2 linked regions of the Callithrix jacchus genome follow. The protein of the gene in region 2 interacts with the protein of the main gene of each other region in a pairwise test. Links are inferred from orthologs where the notes say so. Each region holds a gene or a part of one and is shown on either strand. Other genes may lie near its edges.

Evidence for each region.
Region 1: the proteins of BMX (region 2) and PTPN21 interact in binary tests that used the Homo sapiens proteins (3 or more experiments, as listed by UniProt). The link is inferred for Callithrix jacchus from reciprocal best matches to the Homo sapiens genes BMX and PTPN21.

What each region holds. Positions count from the first base shown.
Region 1 is NC_133509.1:123,397,891-123,405,974, forward strand, and holds the start of PTPN21 (tyrosine-protein phosphatase non-receptor type 21), read right to left. Parts: upstream 4,282-8,084; 5' UTR 3,920-4,281; intron 720-3,919; exon of another isoform or gene 517-719; intron 1-516.
Region 2 is NC_133524.1:15,846,341-15,854,324, reverse strand, and holds part of BMX (cytoplasmic tyrosine-protein kinase BMX), read right to left. Parts: intron 7,756-7,984; coding exon 7,701-7,755; intron 6,419-7,700; coding exon 6,339-6,418; intron 3,516-6,338; coding exon 3,388-3,515; intron 1,013-3,387; coding exon 938-1,012; intron 243-937; coding exon 71-242; intron 1-70. UniProt on the Homo sapiens protein: Non-receptor tyrosine kinase that plays central but diverse modulatory roles in various signaling processes involved in the regulation of actin reorganization, cell migration, cell proliferation and survival, cell adhesion, and apoptosis.

The sequences.
Region 1 (8,084 bases), on a different chromosome or scaffold from region 2:
GGGACCAGGGTCAGGCTCCACCCTTCACTTTTGCCTACAAATAGTGATAGCAAACTGTGGCTATCATCAGGCTTAAATGAGATAATGGCCAGCACTACTGTAATCCCAAATTTACTAGTTAGCATTGGTAGTCCTCCTCCTATTTTGGATGTTTTTTCGTAAGTAACTCTTTGGGGCTGTAATACTCCAAATGTCAGAGTTCTTTAATCCTTCAATGAGAAAAGTGCAAAATACCCGAAAAAGAACTAGGTTCCAGTCCCAATCGCTTTAGAAAATTAACTCTGAAGGCGAATGGGAGGAATAATCCCCACTAAGAATGGCAGGTGTGTGGTTCAAACACGGTGAGCTGTCTAACAAGCGCTTGTGGAAGTATTTACGCCATCAAATTGATTTACTGATAAACTTCATAAAAGACCCTACAAATGCTCCTTATCCAATTACCACTAGAAGAGTGGCAGTTCTGAAAGGCGAGGCCCCGCCCCTCTCCAAGATGGGGACGCCCAAACAAGCCTTCACCTAAGGGGGGCCGCGGCCCAGAAAAGGAGACGGGCGAGGCCTTCCAAGCCATCCTGAGTTGATGAGCGGCCGGGGGGCAGCAAACCCAAGAAGCCCACGGGGCCCTGGAGACCTCAGGCCCCGGCTTCTCCCGCGTCCTTCCCTCGGGAAGAGCACGCGGCGTTGCCAGGCCAACCAGTAGCCTAGGAGGCCCCGGAACTCTCTTTCTGCAGCCGCGTTCCTGGACGGACGCGCTCTGAAAGGGACCGGTCCCTCGGCTCCCGGAGGGACCATTTAAAGGGACCAGCGCGAGACCTACAGGCGGTGGAGAGAGTGGGCGGGCCCCGCGCGATGCCGGCTTTGGAGCCACAGCACCCCGAAATACGCTACTTAAAACGTGTTTCGTAGAGCGCGGTCTCGCTCTGCCACCCAGGCTGGAGTGCAGTGGCGCCATCGCAGCTCACCGCAGCCCCGAACACCTAGGCTCAAGCGATCCTCCAGCCTCAGCCTCCCGACTAGCTGGGACCACAGGCGCGCGCCACCACGCAGGGCTCTGTTGAGTTTTTAACCAGACCAATTCATTGTAACTTCTGGGCCGAGACAAATGAGGGCGAGCACCAGCTGGGGATTTTTTTTTTTTTTTTCCCATTTCACTGATAAAGCTTATAACAGCTGGGGATTTTTACATCAGCTGAATTAGTTTTTTCCCCCTAAACAAGTCTACAAAATCCCGGATATTTCCAGGGTCCCGGGACGCCCCACTTCCTTCTGAGCAGAGGTTGCCTGCTGGGGATGAATCGCTTAGCGAGAACCAGCTATGGCTGGCTACGCTGAGCTCGGGCCCGGGACCGCGCAGGGGGGCAGAATGTGCCCCCGACCCTTTCATCTGGCACGCAGAACCCAACCTTCAGAAAGAGAAGCTACTTCGCAGTTTCACGCTAGGACGGGCTGGGCTGTGAATCGATCCCAAATTCCACACTCCCAGTCCTCTGCTGGGTCCTGCTCTCCTGACTGTGTCTCAGGCCTAGAGGCGATGGGCAGTCAGGGTTAGGGAATGGCAGAGCTGGAGAAAAGAGTTCGGCTACTACCCTCGGCTTTGCCAAACTTAACAGTTTGAAATTCCATTCCACAAATGTGTATTGCCTCTCTGGGTACAAGACAGCATAATGAGCATCGTGAGAAATCTAAGACGAATCCTAAGCCGTCGCTGTCTTTAAGGAGATTACAACCATGCTATAATTACATACAGAGCTGTATCTCTAATAAGGACCCAACCACGGTTTTATCTGGCTAGTTTTTTTGTTTTGAACTCTGGTTATTCCCCATAGCCAGGAAAATCAAAATGTTAAAAACAAGGGATAGGGGAAGGCCAGAGGAAAAAAGCAAAGCTGGAAATAGCTAAAGCACTGTGTTAATTAACAGCATTTGCTGACTGCTTTCTGCAGGTAAAACCACCACACTATGGAGGGAAACAGAAAATAAATATTAAAAGACACGGTTTCCACTTCCAGTACCTTTCAATGCTCTTTGCTATTTCAGGGGTATAAACTAAGTAAAGCAAGATGAAAAGCAATTAGCAAATGAGAACCTTAAATAATAAGCTTTTACCTAGAAAACTGATAAACCAAGAGTGTAAATAGTTAAGGATTATAAATATCATGCATTCTAAACACCATTTCATGGGATCAGATGGTGGGTTTCAATTTTATATAAAAATTATGGTAACTGGAAACTGAACGGATTTAGTAGTGTAGACAAAAAGATAAGATATAGCATATGTGTAGAGAAAAGATCAATATTTGTATTAGGTGCCATTCAAATATGGTAGTCTTTTCACTACATGGAACTATGCCTTGAAAGCGATAGATACTACACTGTAACTTAATTATTAACTTAAGTTCTGCTTAAGCAAACTCAGTAAAACTTTCCATTGTCCCTTAGATTTGAAATGCATTACAGCATCAGGGATAAAGAAAAAGTCAAAGTTATCTCTTATTTTGATTGATGAAATTGAAAAAGTTGCTGCGTGTGTGTGTGTGTGTGTGTGTGTGTGTATGGTGCACCCCCCCACACAAAATCTATCCATAAGAATGCCTTGCTTTTTGCTTATTTATATAAGACCCACTATGCTAAAACAGTGTTTTTGTTTAATAATTTACAAACTAATCAATGATTTACACATCTTAATTTTCAGTAATATTCAGTATTTGCTGCCAAATGATATAATACAGTTATGAATGTCTGAAGGTAATAAAACCAAGAGGAGTAGAAATTTAAGAGTTCTTTGGGGAGGTCTGTTTTAGGTATAAAATAATATGCAATAATCTGGAAATGGTTGGGTCTGGAATTATAATTTACTAAATTAAACATAATTCATAAATAGCTAATAAAGGAAAACTAGGATAACTTTGTTTCTCTACAAAATCTGTTTTGTAGTAAATAAACGGATACATACTAGATTCTGCTTCAGTACAAGTTTACAAAAGGCAGTCTCAACTATTTGTGAATTCATTTTAATTTTTCCTCTCTACATCCCCTTCCAAAAGTTTCTCAAATACACTTTACCTCTGAATCTTACAGCGTTTCCCCTTTCCTAAGGTCCTTACGTAATTTTGCCAAGGTTGCTTTAAAACAAAATGAACACTAAAAAGAGAGAGTATGTGACATATTTAGGGTAATATCTATAGCATTAAATCAAACCCATGCTTCCCAAGGAGAAAACATTTGTGCGTAGATGCTCCAGAATAAAATGCCCTAGAAACAAAACGGACAGCTATATTCAGAGTAAAATTACTCTGGTATTCCAAACTTAAAAAAATAAACTGTCAGCAACTAAGAGGCGTATAGCAGTTGTCACTTGGAGCACACGAATGTTTTCAATGTGTTTGCGAGCATACTCTATTATTGTAAGGCTTTCTCAGCAAAAAAGAAAATAGGACGAACATGCCAAGAGCGGCCAATCTAATCAGGATTTGCAGAAATCACCAGTCGGAATTTGCAGATCCAAGAATTCTCTTCCAGAATAAACACTACTCCAAAAACGAACCAGGCATTACCAAACAGCCCTTCCTTGCGCCCCTTCTCGCCAAAGTTATCTGGCGAATTTCACGTTTACATATTCTGAGAGGCACAAATATGCCTAACCCATTTAAAACCCCGATCCAGAATTAACCCGCAACAATCGGCCAGGGCGTTCAGAATAGAAGTTCCAGACCCCTTTTAGAAATTACTCAAGTACATGAGAGCGAATCTGGAAAAGGAAAACTTTTGTCTTTGTTAACGCTCCCGCTGTGAGTCTGGCAGCCGCGCCCCATCCTCCGGGACTCCGGGGCCGCGGGCGCGTTCCGGGGTCCCGGCGAGCGGACACACCCCACCGCTCCAGCCGGTGCCCGCCCCTCCCGCCGGCCAAGCCCAGCGCCCTCACCTGCTCGCGCTCCCGCATCCTCGGGGCCGCGCGCACCGCTCAGCGGCCCGCCTCCCGGGGCCCCGCAGCTCTGCCGCCGCAGCCGCGCCCGCACGCTAGCCCGCGCCGCGCCGCGCTCATGGGGCTCGCACGCCTCACTTCCTGTCTCCAAAAACCCGGCCCGCAGACCATTCCCCTGGGCAGAGTCCGGCGGTGGCGATGGCGAGGGGCGAGGCCTGGGGGTGGACCTGCAGGCGAGTAGTGCCGCACAAAGAAGCCCTGCGGGGGCGGGGGGAGGCAGTAGGACGGACTGACGGACGGTCGGACCGACGCGGGACGCGCGGCCGGAGCAGCGGGCGGCCGGGCCGGGCGTCCCTCCCCCTAGGTCGGGCGGGCGGACCCAGGGAGGCGGCGGCGGCGGCCCGTGACCTCAGAGAGTTGGAATGCTGGCAGCCGCGCGGGGGAGGCGCGGACAGCTGCGCCCGGCCGCCGGGGAGGGGGCGCGCCGCAGCTTTTTTTAATCGTATGACCACTTATTTTAAGAGTTTCCAAATAAAACAAGGCTTTTAATAAAATGAGAGGAGGGGGTATTGTTTAGGTTCCAGTTAAAGGGGTTTATTCTTGTGTTATTAGGTAGGCTGTAAAATGCTATTATTAATGGTTATTCGTTTACTATGGTATGTTTCTGAAGACTATTGGAATACATTTCTTTTCCTGCTTGCTCCTAAGGTTATGCCCCATATAACTAGACACTTCCAGTATTGTGTGGGAAAGCCCCCAGCACCACCACCACCAAAAATGGTTCATATACCTCAAATAACCTGTCAGTCCCCAAAAGAGAGCTGTCTGCTTACATAATAGGGAGCAGAGCTCTTAAGGGTGGAGAGTCGACTACGTTGTTTGGGTTCAAATCCCAGCTCCAACAGTTACTAGCTAGGTGACCTTGTGCAAATTTCTTAACTTCTCTGTAACTGTTTCCTCTACTAGAAAATGGGGATAATATTAAACAATATCTTTGCACCGCAGAGGGGGGAAAAAGAAATACTAAGCAATATCCAATAACTTGTGTAAAGTATATATGAAGTGTTTCATTTAATTGACGTTTATTACACAGTATTTTTGCACTGCATTATTATTGTATTGCAACAGCTAAGCTAAGGAATAAAGCTGTGTGACCCTAACACTATTACAATAGAGTATAAGATCTTTTTTTGGCATGTGGAACAGAGAGCCTTTTAATTTATGTAAATTTTAATTTCAATGATTTTGTTTTAATGCTGTTGTTTCTGGAAAGTTTGTTTAAGTATTATGTTTCATTTAAATCTCATTTTCTTCAACAATTAACGAAAACTCTTTTTTTTTTTTGAGAGTCTCCTCTGTCGCCCAGGCTACAATGCAGTGGTGTGATCTCCGCTCACTGCAACCTCCACCTCTTGGGTTCAAGCGATTCTACTGTGTCAGCCTCCCAAGTAGATGGGACTACAGGTGTCTGCCACCACACCTGGCTAATTGTTGTTTTTAGTAGAGACAGGGTTTCACCATGTTGGCCAAGCTGGTCTCAATCTCCTGACCTCAGGACATCCACTTGCCTCAGCCTCCCAAAGTGCTGGGGTTACAGTCATGAGCCAAAAAAAACTTTTAAATACTTATCTATGAATGACACGTGGTCCCTGCACAACAAGGACTTTTGGTCTAGTGGGTGACAAAGGCACCTGCACACCACACACACAGTGCAAGGCCAAAGTGAGGAGCACTGTCATAGAGGTATGAGTTATACCCAAGAGCAAAGCCCAGCAACGTTCATCTTGGGTCATTTACCTAAAGGCAAATAAGATTGTGTTTCTAAGGGAAAAAACAGATCAATTCTGTTTGTAATTGATATTTCAACTGAACTCTATGAGGGGGTCAGTTTGTGTGTGAGGAAAGAAAGATCTGAAAAGAAGTCACTTTGCTGGCTTCCCAAGCTAGGAAAATTGGAATCATGTGTGACTTCTCCCATTCTCATCTCCAGCCTGTCATCAAAACCTAGTATTTCCTCCTTTGAAATGCCTCATGAATTATTTCTTTCCTTTCTCTTCCCTCTGGAACATTCTAAATCCAAACCGTCATAATTTTACATCCAATTATTGCAACAAGGGTGGTCTCCTAGCATCTCGTTTCTCAGTTCTCTCTTATGTCCTTGCTAATACCAGGCTTCCCTCTCTTGAGTTATCACTCCTAAGGGACTCCCAAGGTTAACTTCTTCAGCCTGACCTTTAGGGACTTTCCAAACCGGTCTCTCTGACCACTCATATGGCTTTCTGCCCCTATCAAGCTTTGTCCCTCACCAGCAGCCCCTCCGGTCCTCCTTCCTTTTTTTTTTTTTTTTTTTTGAGACGGAGTTTCGCTCTTGTTACCCAGGCTGGAGTGCAATGGCGCGATCTCGGCTCACCACAACCTCTGCCTCCTGGGTTCAGGCAATTCTCCTGCCTCAGCCTCCTGAGTAGCTGGGAGTACAGGCACACGCCACCATGCCCAGCTAATTTATATATATATATATTTTTTTTTAGTAGAGACAGGGTTTCATCTTGTTGACCAGGATGGTCTCGATCTTTTGACCTCGTGATCCACCCGTCTCAGCCTCCCAAAGTGCTGGGGTTATAGGCGTGAGCCACCGTGCCCGGCCCGGTCCTCCTTCCATTTGTCTAAGCCTTGCTGCTTCTCTCCAAGTAAGACTCTGCTTCCAGGATGACTTTCTAGCCACATATCATTCCACAGTGATCTCCACACTTGGCAAGAACTAAAAGTTATTTCATGAAGGCTTCTTTTATATCTCCTAGAATTTCCAGGACAGTACTGGGCAAAGAATAGGCACTAAATAAAAACTTGTTAATTGAATCAGGAAGAAAATAAAAGAATTTTTTAAATAGAAAATGACCGTAAAACCCAAGAGATGTTAGACAACTGAGTTGAACTTCCTCCCTCAAGTCCACAGATGTCATTTACTAACCAAGTACCTAAGCCCTATTCTCCCTCAACCATGTTAATTTGGCAGGAACATTCATGGCAAGGCACTTGAATAACGCCTTCAAAGTATTAGACATAAAATTATTATTAGCTTGTGTTTCATATCTAAGGAAGTGAGATAATTTGTATGGTTCCACCCCCAAAGATACACAAGGGTGTAAGTAAAAAGTCCTCTTCTCACTCTGCCTGCTAGATACCCAGCTCTTCTCCCTGGGGGTGGGTAACCAGTGTTCCATCATTCCTCTGCAGCCTTATAGAGATGTTCTGCAGAGATACAAACAACTACATATATGTATCTTTACCACCCCCCTTGTTATCTAGAAGGTGGCATATTTATACATTTATACTGGAAGTTAATTCTTACTAAAATAAATAAGTTAAAATGTAAAAAGCCCAGCATATAAAATGATGAAAGACAAAAAGATTAAAGGAAAAGAGGCCAGGCACAGTAGCTCAATCCTGTAATATCACACTCTGGGAAGATGAGGCAGGCAGATCACCTGAGGTCAGGATTTCAAGACCAGCCTGGCCAACATGGTGAAACCCCATCTCTACTAAAAATACAAAAATTTTGCACATGTACCCCAGAACTTAAAATAAAATAAAATAAAAATACAAAAATTAGCTGGGCATGGTAGAGCATGCCTGTAGTCCCAGCTACTGGGGAGGCTGAGGCATCAGAATTGCTTGAGCCGGGGAGGCACAGGTTGTGGTGAGCTGAGATTGTGCCACTGCACTCCAGCCTGGGTGACAGAGCAAGACTCTGTCTCAAAAAAAAAAAAAAAAAAGGGCCGGGCACGGTGGCTCAAGCCTGTAATCCCAGCACTTTGGGAGGCCGAGGCAGGTAGGTCACAAGGTCAAGATATCGAGACCATCCTGGTCAACATGGTGAAACCCTGCCTCTACTAAAGATACAAAAAATTAGCTGGGCATGGTGGCGCGTGCCTGTAATCCCAGCTACTCAGGAGGCTGAGGCAGGAGAATTGCCTGAACCCAGGAGGCGGAGGTTGCTGTGAGCCGAGATTGCGCCATTGCACTCCAGCCTGGGTAACAAGAGTGAAACTCCGCCTAAAAAAAAAAGGAAATTTTGCTTTGGTTTGGTGGGTGCATTGACTAGTGTTTTCTTAGAATTTCAAAAGTTAGGCTGGGTTCAAAAGTTAGGCTCACGCCTATAATCCCA
Region 2 (7,984 bases):
GTGCAGGCCTATTAGTGTTAATGTCCTCCCATGATGAGGGCTAAACAGCCATTCCTTGGGAAAAACTTACATCATAGTCTGGGCCTCCTGAAAGAATTCATCTTCCGACATGGAGCCCTCCTTGATCATCTTAACAGCAACATCATACTGTCCCTTCCACTTGCCCAGCTGGACCACTCCAAACTGGCCACTTCCCAGCTCCTTCAACAGGGTAATCTCTTCTCTTTTCAGTTCCCAGATTCCTAACAAGGCAAGATGGACATTCTTTAGGATAAGCATAGAAAGTTTTGGGTCTAACAGCTTCTCAAGTGGGAGTTTCCTCTACAGTGGGAGTTTCGCAGTGACAATATAAACAAGACTTTTTATTTTAAGTTGATAAATTAAAAAAAACCCTTAATGATGCGGTCTTGTGGTCACGTGATAATGGGACCAGGACAACACTGTTCTTGAAGTAGCTACAGTTATTTGACAAGAAAGCTCAGAGTAAAAACAATTTGCCAACCAGAGGCATCTTGGAAAGGCTCAGCACCAAAATGTACTCGATGTACTTAGGTTGGTGAAACATTGTTAGATTTTTTAAAAAATAAAACAAATTAAACTGTGATCTGTGTGGATGTGATCATCCTAATATACAAGGTTAAATACTGGCTCTGCCGAGTGGGTGCAAAATCCAGGAAAAAGGAAGGACAGACAATGGGGTCTGGAAGCTAATGATGGGGTCTAATAAGAGAAAACAAATTGATGATCTTTTTGGTGGTGCTAGAAGCTTACAGATTTAGGTTGAGAGAATTTTTTTTAAAGGAAATCCTTCCTGATACAATCTGAACAGAGACCTCCTTCCTGTCTTTCCTCCTTTTTTTTCCCAAGTAAATTAACCATATATTTCAACAAAAAATTATGGAAAATCAAGTTTAAGAGCCCAAGAATGTATCCATACCACTTCCCAGGGACACAGAGTCAGGGACCTTGTTGGCCTTTGTTGACACAGGGTGGCGGAGCCGTGTGATCATGCCTGCAATGGAATCAGCATCATATCATCACATCATTACATCATATCCCATCACATTACATCATAAACATTGGCTCACAACTAGTCTCTCTCCAAAGTAGCTGAAAAGGCAGAGTTAAGAATGTTGAGATGCAGAGAGAGAATCCATTCATGCTGTGGTTGTCTTAATTTGCTTAACTTGACTAATTAGCTCAATGCAAAGAAAAAGTTAAATGAATAAAATACTGTATGTGATTTTTAAAAATCCCATAGAAATTAGTTGCTTGATGAAATCTTTTAAAATCCACCCCTTACTTTTTTGCTATCTCTTTACAATCCAATACTTAAATATGTATACACATAGCACATACATTTGACAAAAAATTCAAGCAATACAGGGGATAAAAAATAATAAGCCATATGAATTTTTAAAAACTGAGCCTATTACTAAGTTTCAATAAATGGTCATTTTAATTGTTTATATTGAGTTATGGTAAAACTGGGTTAAAATAATTATAAAATTTAATAGTGGCTTGAAATAACCCATTAAAAACATATGTTAATATGTTTTTTGCTTTAAATGTGAAATGCTCTCCAAGTCAGGGGACCTATCATACATTTACTTTTCCCCTCCTTCCTTTTTCTATATATTTGTCTGATTTTTATATGAGTAGTCTCCAAATTTTTAAAATCCTTCACTTTTATCTTTTTTTTTTGTTTCTCTGATAAAAATCCTTCACCTTTAATCAGCTAAATTAATTAATCAATTAAAATGTAAAGACTAGTACATTTCTATAAAATATATATTTGGTGTGGATTATAAAAATACACTCACAAACAGAAAATGTAAGAGAATGAGGCAAAAATCCAAATGTAAATAGAAGTCTTAATATTTTCTTCAGATATCCTGTGCATCCTCTGCAGTGGAATCATTCCACTTAGAGAGGTCTCTTTGTACAATACCTTTTCCAAAAGGTACTACTGAGATACTAAAGGTTAAAACAAACAATTGAGGAAATTGGGGCAAAAGAAACACAACAGTAAGAACCAAAATGAGAGCCAGAAGTGAGGCCAATTCACCTATATGCATGCAATCAAGTCATATAAAGTAGCACAAATTAAATGCTGAGCTTATGGCTTATTTTTAATCACTGTTAGAAATTCAGTCACTGCTCTTAAGTGGCACTATTCTAGAAAACAGAGGGTATTTCTAGATGTATTTCCACCAGTTGATTAGGCAAAAATTTAGAAGACTAATAGCACCCAATGTTGATGAGGATGAGAGAAATTGTTGTTACTGGAATTGTACATTTCTGAAAAGCATTTGGCAATCTGTACCTTTTAAGTATTCTTAGCCTTTGTCTCAGAAATTCCACTTCTAGGGATTCGGCTATAGAATCAGTCATATGGTTGGACAGAGCTATGCATGCAGAATTGTGCACAGAAACATGATCCAACTGCTAATCAATAGAGGGCTAGGTGAATAAATCATGGGGTAACTATGTGATAGAATTCTATGCACCTGGGCTGGGCGCGGTGGCTCAAGCCTGTAATCCCAGCACTTTGGGAGGCCGAGGCGGGTGGATCACGAGGTCAAGAGATCGAGACCATCCTGGTCAACATGGTGAAACCCCGTCTCTACTAAAAATACAAAAAATTAGCTGTGCATGGTGGTGCGTGCCTGTAATCCCAGCTACTCGGGAGGCTGAGGCAGGAGAATTGCCTGAACCCAGGAGGCGGAGGTTGCGGTGAGCCGAGATTGCGCCATTGCACTCCAGCCTGGGTAACAAGAGCGAAACTCCGTCTCAAAAAAAAAAAAAAAAAAAAAAAGAATTCTATGCACCTATTAAATAGACCTAAGTAAGCTCTTTGTATTTGCATGAAAAGACCTCTAAGACATGTTGAGTAAAGAAAGCAAGCTGAACAATATATGTAGAATGATCTCATCTCTGTAAAAATGTAATATATATATATACATAATACATAATTTCTATTTATATATGTAATAATTGGTAAGTTCTAGTATCAGCATGCAAAAAACCCTGTCATAATAGACAATTGTTTCATATATCCAATGATATCTATATTTCCATAATATTTTAAATTTATAATCCTCTTGCTTTTATACACAGAAAAACCCTACAAATATTTTTATAAAGAGATTTTCTCTTTCCAAGTCACCCAGTTTACTTAATTTCATTCTTTCTGGCATTAAGGAGGGCATCATGTTATATTCCTGAAAATGTAAGTTAAAAATTATGATAGGCAAAGGACTTGAGAGCATTTTCCCTACTTTCATGGTTCCTTATATAATTAAGAATATCAGGAGGATCAGTAGTATCCAAGAAAATTGGTATTTATCAACAAACGCCCATAAAAGAAAAATTAAAATAAATTACCTGCTGAATTGTGTTGATGATAATGAATAAGCTTTGGAATGGAATCAAAACAGTAGTTTTCTGCCAGGTATAATTTGTTCTCAGCATTTGTATGCACATGGTAATGTTTGACAGTTCCTTTTTTATCACTAATAACAGAAAAAATGTTAGAACATTTTAAATAAAAAATTGAAGCTTGATTAAGCAAGGGTTAAATAATTCTTTTAGATGTATTTGCAAATTTTGGCGAGGGAAGTTAGTGAGGGTTTCTCAGTCTTGATACCTGGTGTTTTTCTCAGTGTTGACACCTGGTGTAACCGTAACAGTAATTATGGAAGACAGTTCTCTGAACTCAATGTATCTTTTTGTGCACGTATACCCATGAACATAAAAGCTAAAAAAATTAAAAATTCACGTACAGTAAAATTCCACCTTTCCGGGCTTCTCCTCCCTTAGTAAGTGTATAAAATTGGAATCTTTCTTTGATGATCGAGAGGCTTGTAGTTCTTCAGGATCATTATTCTGAACAGAAATTCTCTAATAGGATAATAATGGAGGTGGAAATGAGGGAGGTAAAGGTAATTAGGCTGTTGGGTATTCTCACCCCAAAACATGGGAGGGAGGCTCTTTTGGTAGTGAAGCATGCAGGATGAAGTAGGTGGGGATGTCTTTTAATTCCTCATGTGAACTTGTACCTTCTCCACATAAAAACAATCTCTTCTTTTCCTCTGTTTTTATAAAATAATGGCGAATTGATGCACGTTGATTTAAGCTAATCAGGAATAGTACACCTGTCTTAGATTGCAGCCAATGACATAGTGATCAAGAGTCAGGCTTTGAGTTCAGTTTTATCACTTGCTAGCTACCCTATGTGGTTATGCTTGGCATATAAGAAACAGTTAATAAACTGTTGCTGTATAGCAAACTAACACAGGAACAGAAAACCAAATGGCACATGTTCCTACTTGTATGTGGGAGCTAAATGATGAGAACACATGGACACATAGTGGAAAACAGTAGACACTGAGGCCTACTTGAGGGTGGAGGGTGGGAGGAAGAAGAGGAGCAGGAAAAATGACTATTGGATACCAGGCTTAGTACCCAGGTGATGAAATAGTCTCTATAAGAAACCCCATGACACGAATTTACCTATATAACAAACCTGCACATGTACCCATAAACTTAAAAGCTAAAAAAATTTAAAAATTGTTGTTGTAACATCAACCAAGTAAAAATTGCAAGTATAAAAGGAGAAAGGTTCTTCTCTTTGCTGCAAATGTTTAATCAGCCTTTGGTGTCAGCATACAATTCACCGAAGGCCATTGATAAGGTTTCATAAAAGAGGGCTTTTGTAATCATTTCATTTTTTACCTATTTGCTGATTTATCTATCTGACTACTGTAAAAAATGAATCTGGAGTCAAGAAACTCGACTAGGAGGACATCTGATACGAGGTTTGTCTGAAACTGCAGGGCCAGAGGGCCACAAAGCTTTTGATACTCAGTAAACAAACTCTTCTCCTGATTCTTACTAGGTTGGCTTTAGCCAGCATCCAGGTGTTATCAGGCGCAAACTAATATATGAGATACACTGGGGACATGGATTCTGGCATTAGAAAGTGCTGTTGGACAATTCAAAGTACGTCCTGTTATCTGAAGTGTAGGTAGGCACTCCGTAAAAAATTCCAAAATAGAAAGTAACATTTCTATTACTTAATTATTATAAATCTACATATATGCACTGTGGGGTAGGGCACACGAGGAAGGCACCAAGGCAGATGATCATTTGATTTAGCTGCTAAAAAAGGGTTCTACACATAGAAATTTTTAAAAGATCTTAATCGATATTTGACCAGATTCTCACTCCAAAACACTGGAGGTTCAGTGCAAACACAGAGGTGTAGATGAAGGAACATGACTTGGCTATTGGAAACCCAGCTTCAAATTAGTCATTTATTAGCTCCAAATAGGTCTTTATAAGCTCTTTTTGAACCTCAGTCCTCTCATCTGCAATATGGTGTAAATAAAAACAGATTTTCTATTTGCTTTGGAGGATGATTAAAAGGAAAAAAAGAGCTAACTATCAATAAGAAAGTGGCTTGTAGAACTCTGGAGGAGGATTCTCATGATGATTTGCATGAGGTGACTGTGGGGTGTCTTTTATGCCCAAGTGTTAGGGTACAGGGAGTGGAGCAGGGAGAACTACTCTTCCCCAGCAGCAACAAAAATAATAGTAATTACTGTTAGTTTATTAAGTGCTTACTATGTGTCAGGCACTGTTCTGGATATAATATATGAATTAACTCACTTCACTCATGGAACATAAAAATCATTATGTTCCCTTTTCAAATGACAAGTTGAAGCACAGAGGTTAAGAAATTTGCTCAATGTCACAAAACCCTGAAATAGTAGAGCCAGGATTTGGATTTAGAAGTTTGGCTTCAAACAAGAACTTTTAACACCACAAAGAGGACAGAGTCCCGGAAGGAAGCTGTGTAGAGAACACAGCTGCACTGAGTCAACCTTCTGCTAACTCTGCAGGCAGTGGAAGTACTAAGAACTAGACACCGGAGTAGGCTTCTCTGCTCAGCAGGTGGCTAGGGCTGAGAGTATAGAGGTTCCATTGCTATTTTCTTTCTTTCTAGGCTTAGACCTGAATGAAAGGGAATCACCCAGACGTCGTTTAATAAACATTTACTGAGGCGTGCTGTGCTCTGGGCATTCTGTTACTGCCTGGGTTGGGCAAGAGAGCGTTAGCCAGAGAATGGCCTCTTGAAAGTAGTGGGGCAAGGGTGCTGGCGCAGTGGGGTGAGGGTGGTGGAGGCAACTACAAATGTTCACACTCAACAGAAATACTTTGATCTAAAACTCCGGAGTTTAAAGATTATGTCTTATCTCAAAATGTGATTATAAACAGCATATTCAAAAAATATACACAGAAAGATAAAAGACGTAAATCCTTATCATACTTACTTCACAGCCTTACTAAATAAGGACACTGTGTACATTCCTGCTTGGCTGGAATTTCTAACCATAAATGCTCCTTCTTTTCCCTGAAAAGGAAGAAAAATTAAGAAGAAACAGAAAATATTTTCAATATTCTTGAAAATGATTTTGTATCGTAGGCGGTTGGAAAATAAATCTTTTAGATCGACTTTATATGTCACAAAGGGCACAGGTTTCTCATTCAATCTCTTTATAGATCTGCCCAGTGTATATGAACTCTTCCAGTTAATGTTTAAGCCTAGCACATACTTTTCTGGGTGTTTTGCTTATGTAAGCCTAATGTGTTCAACTTTAGGAAACAAAATTTAGAATCATGTATCACCATATCATGCCCTTGGAAGGTTTTAGAAAACGAAAGATCCAGAATAAATTATTTTTAAAGTTCTATACTCAAGTTGTCTTTCTCAATGACTTGTGCTAATTCTAAGCAGATCAACGTTCAGAAAGAGCAGATTATAAACTATGAATGTGACAAAACACCAAATGAAGTCATTACATTCTCACTAGCACCCCTCAAAGAAATAGTTTAGTGTTTAGTGTTTTTATCAGGTTAAACTATATCAAAGTGTCATTTTTAGAGATCAAAAGAGTTTGCTATTGGTATCCCATACCAATTCATAATAAAATCAGATAAACATATTCTGTGTCACAGCTGCTGTACTCTGGTCTAGGTGCCAATGAGCAGTGACAGAGCTGAAGTTAATGGCTACATTGGCGGTCTCCGATAAATCATCTCTCTTATTCATGCCCTGAGCAGTCCCCTCCTGTACTGACTCTAGGCTGAGCCATGTGACTTGCTATGACCAATGGGACTTTAGCAAACACAACAAAAGCAAAGACTAGGTAAGTGCTTGCATGGGGCTCGTCCTTTTCAACCACCGCCTTGAGATCAATCACCATGCTGTGAGGAGGTCCAAGGAAGGCACATGGAGAGGCTGCTTGGGGAAGAACTGTGGAACTCCAGTTGACTGCCTCAGCTAAACCCAAGCCCCCAGTCAATCTGCCAGCCAAATGCAGCCACAGGAGTGCCCGTAAGCAAAACGTGCCTAAGCACTGTTGGCCCAGCTGACTCACAGAATCATGAGAAATCATAAATCCCGCTGTTTCAAGCCACTAAATTTAGGAGTGATTTATTATGCAGCAATAGATAATGGACACAGAAGTAGTGGCTAGACATAAAGGGTCTGGCAACCCACAGACCAGATAAGCCGCACTACGATGGCTTGACTATATAATTAACAGCAAGGTTTCTATGAAAAATGCATCAATCTCTGGGCCCCAAAATACAAAGAGATTCTGTGAGGCTGTTTTCAAGACAAGACTATTTACCTTTTGTCTGAGTAACTGTTCAGATTGTGATCTGGAGATGTTACCAGCAAACCAGCTGCAAAAGGCAAAAAATTGTTTGATAATTAATAAGTGTTAGATTATATAACTTGACACTCAACTTTCTAATCTGTAAAGTGAGTCATTGGCTTACGTCAGGGATTTCCAACCCTAACTGCTCAAGATAATCATTCGAGGGGCTTTTCAAAAATACAGATGATGTTGGGGTGGGGCCTGCACATCTAATTTTTAAATGGGCTGGCATTAGTGATCTCTGGTTTTCTTCT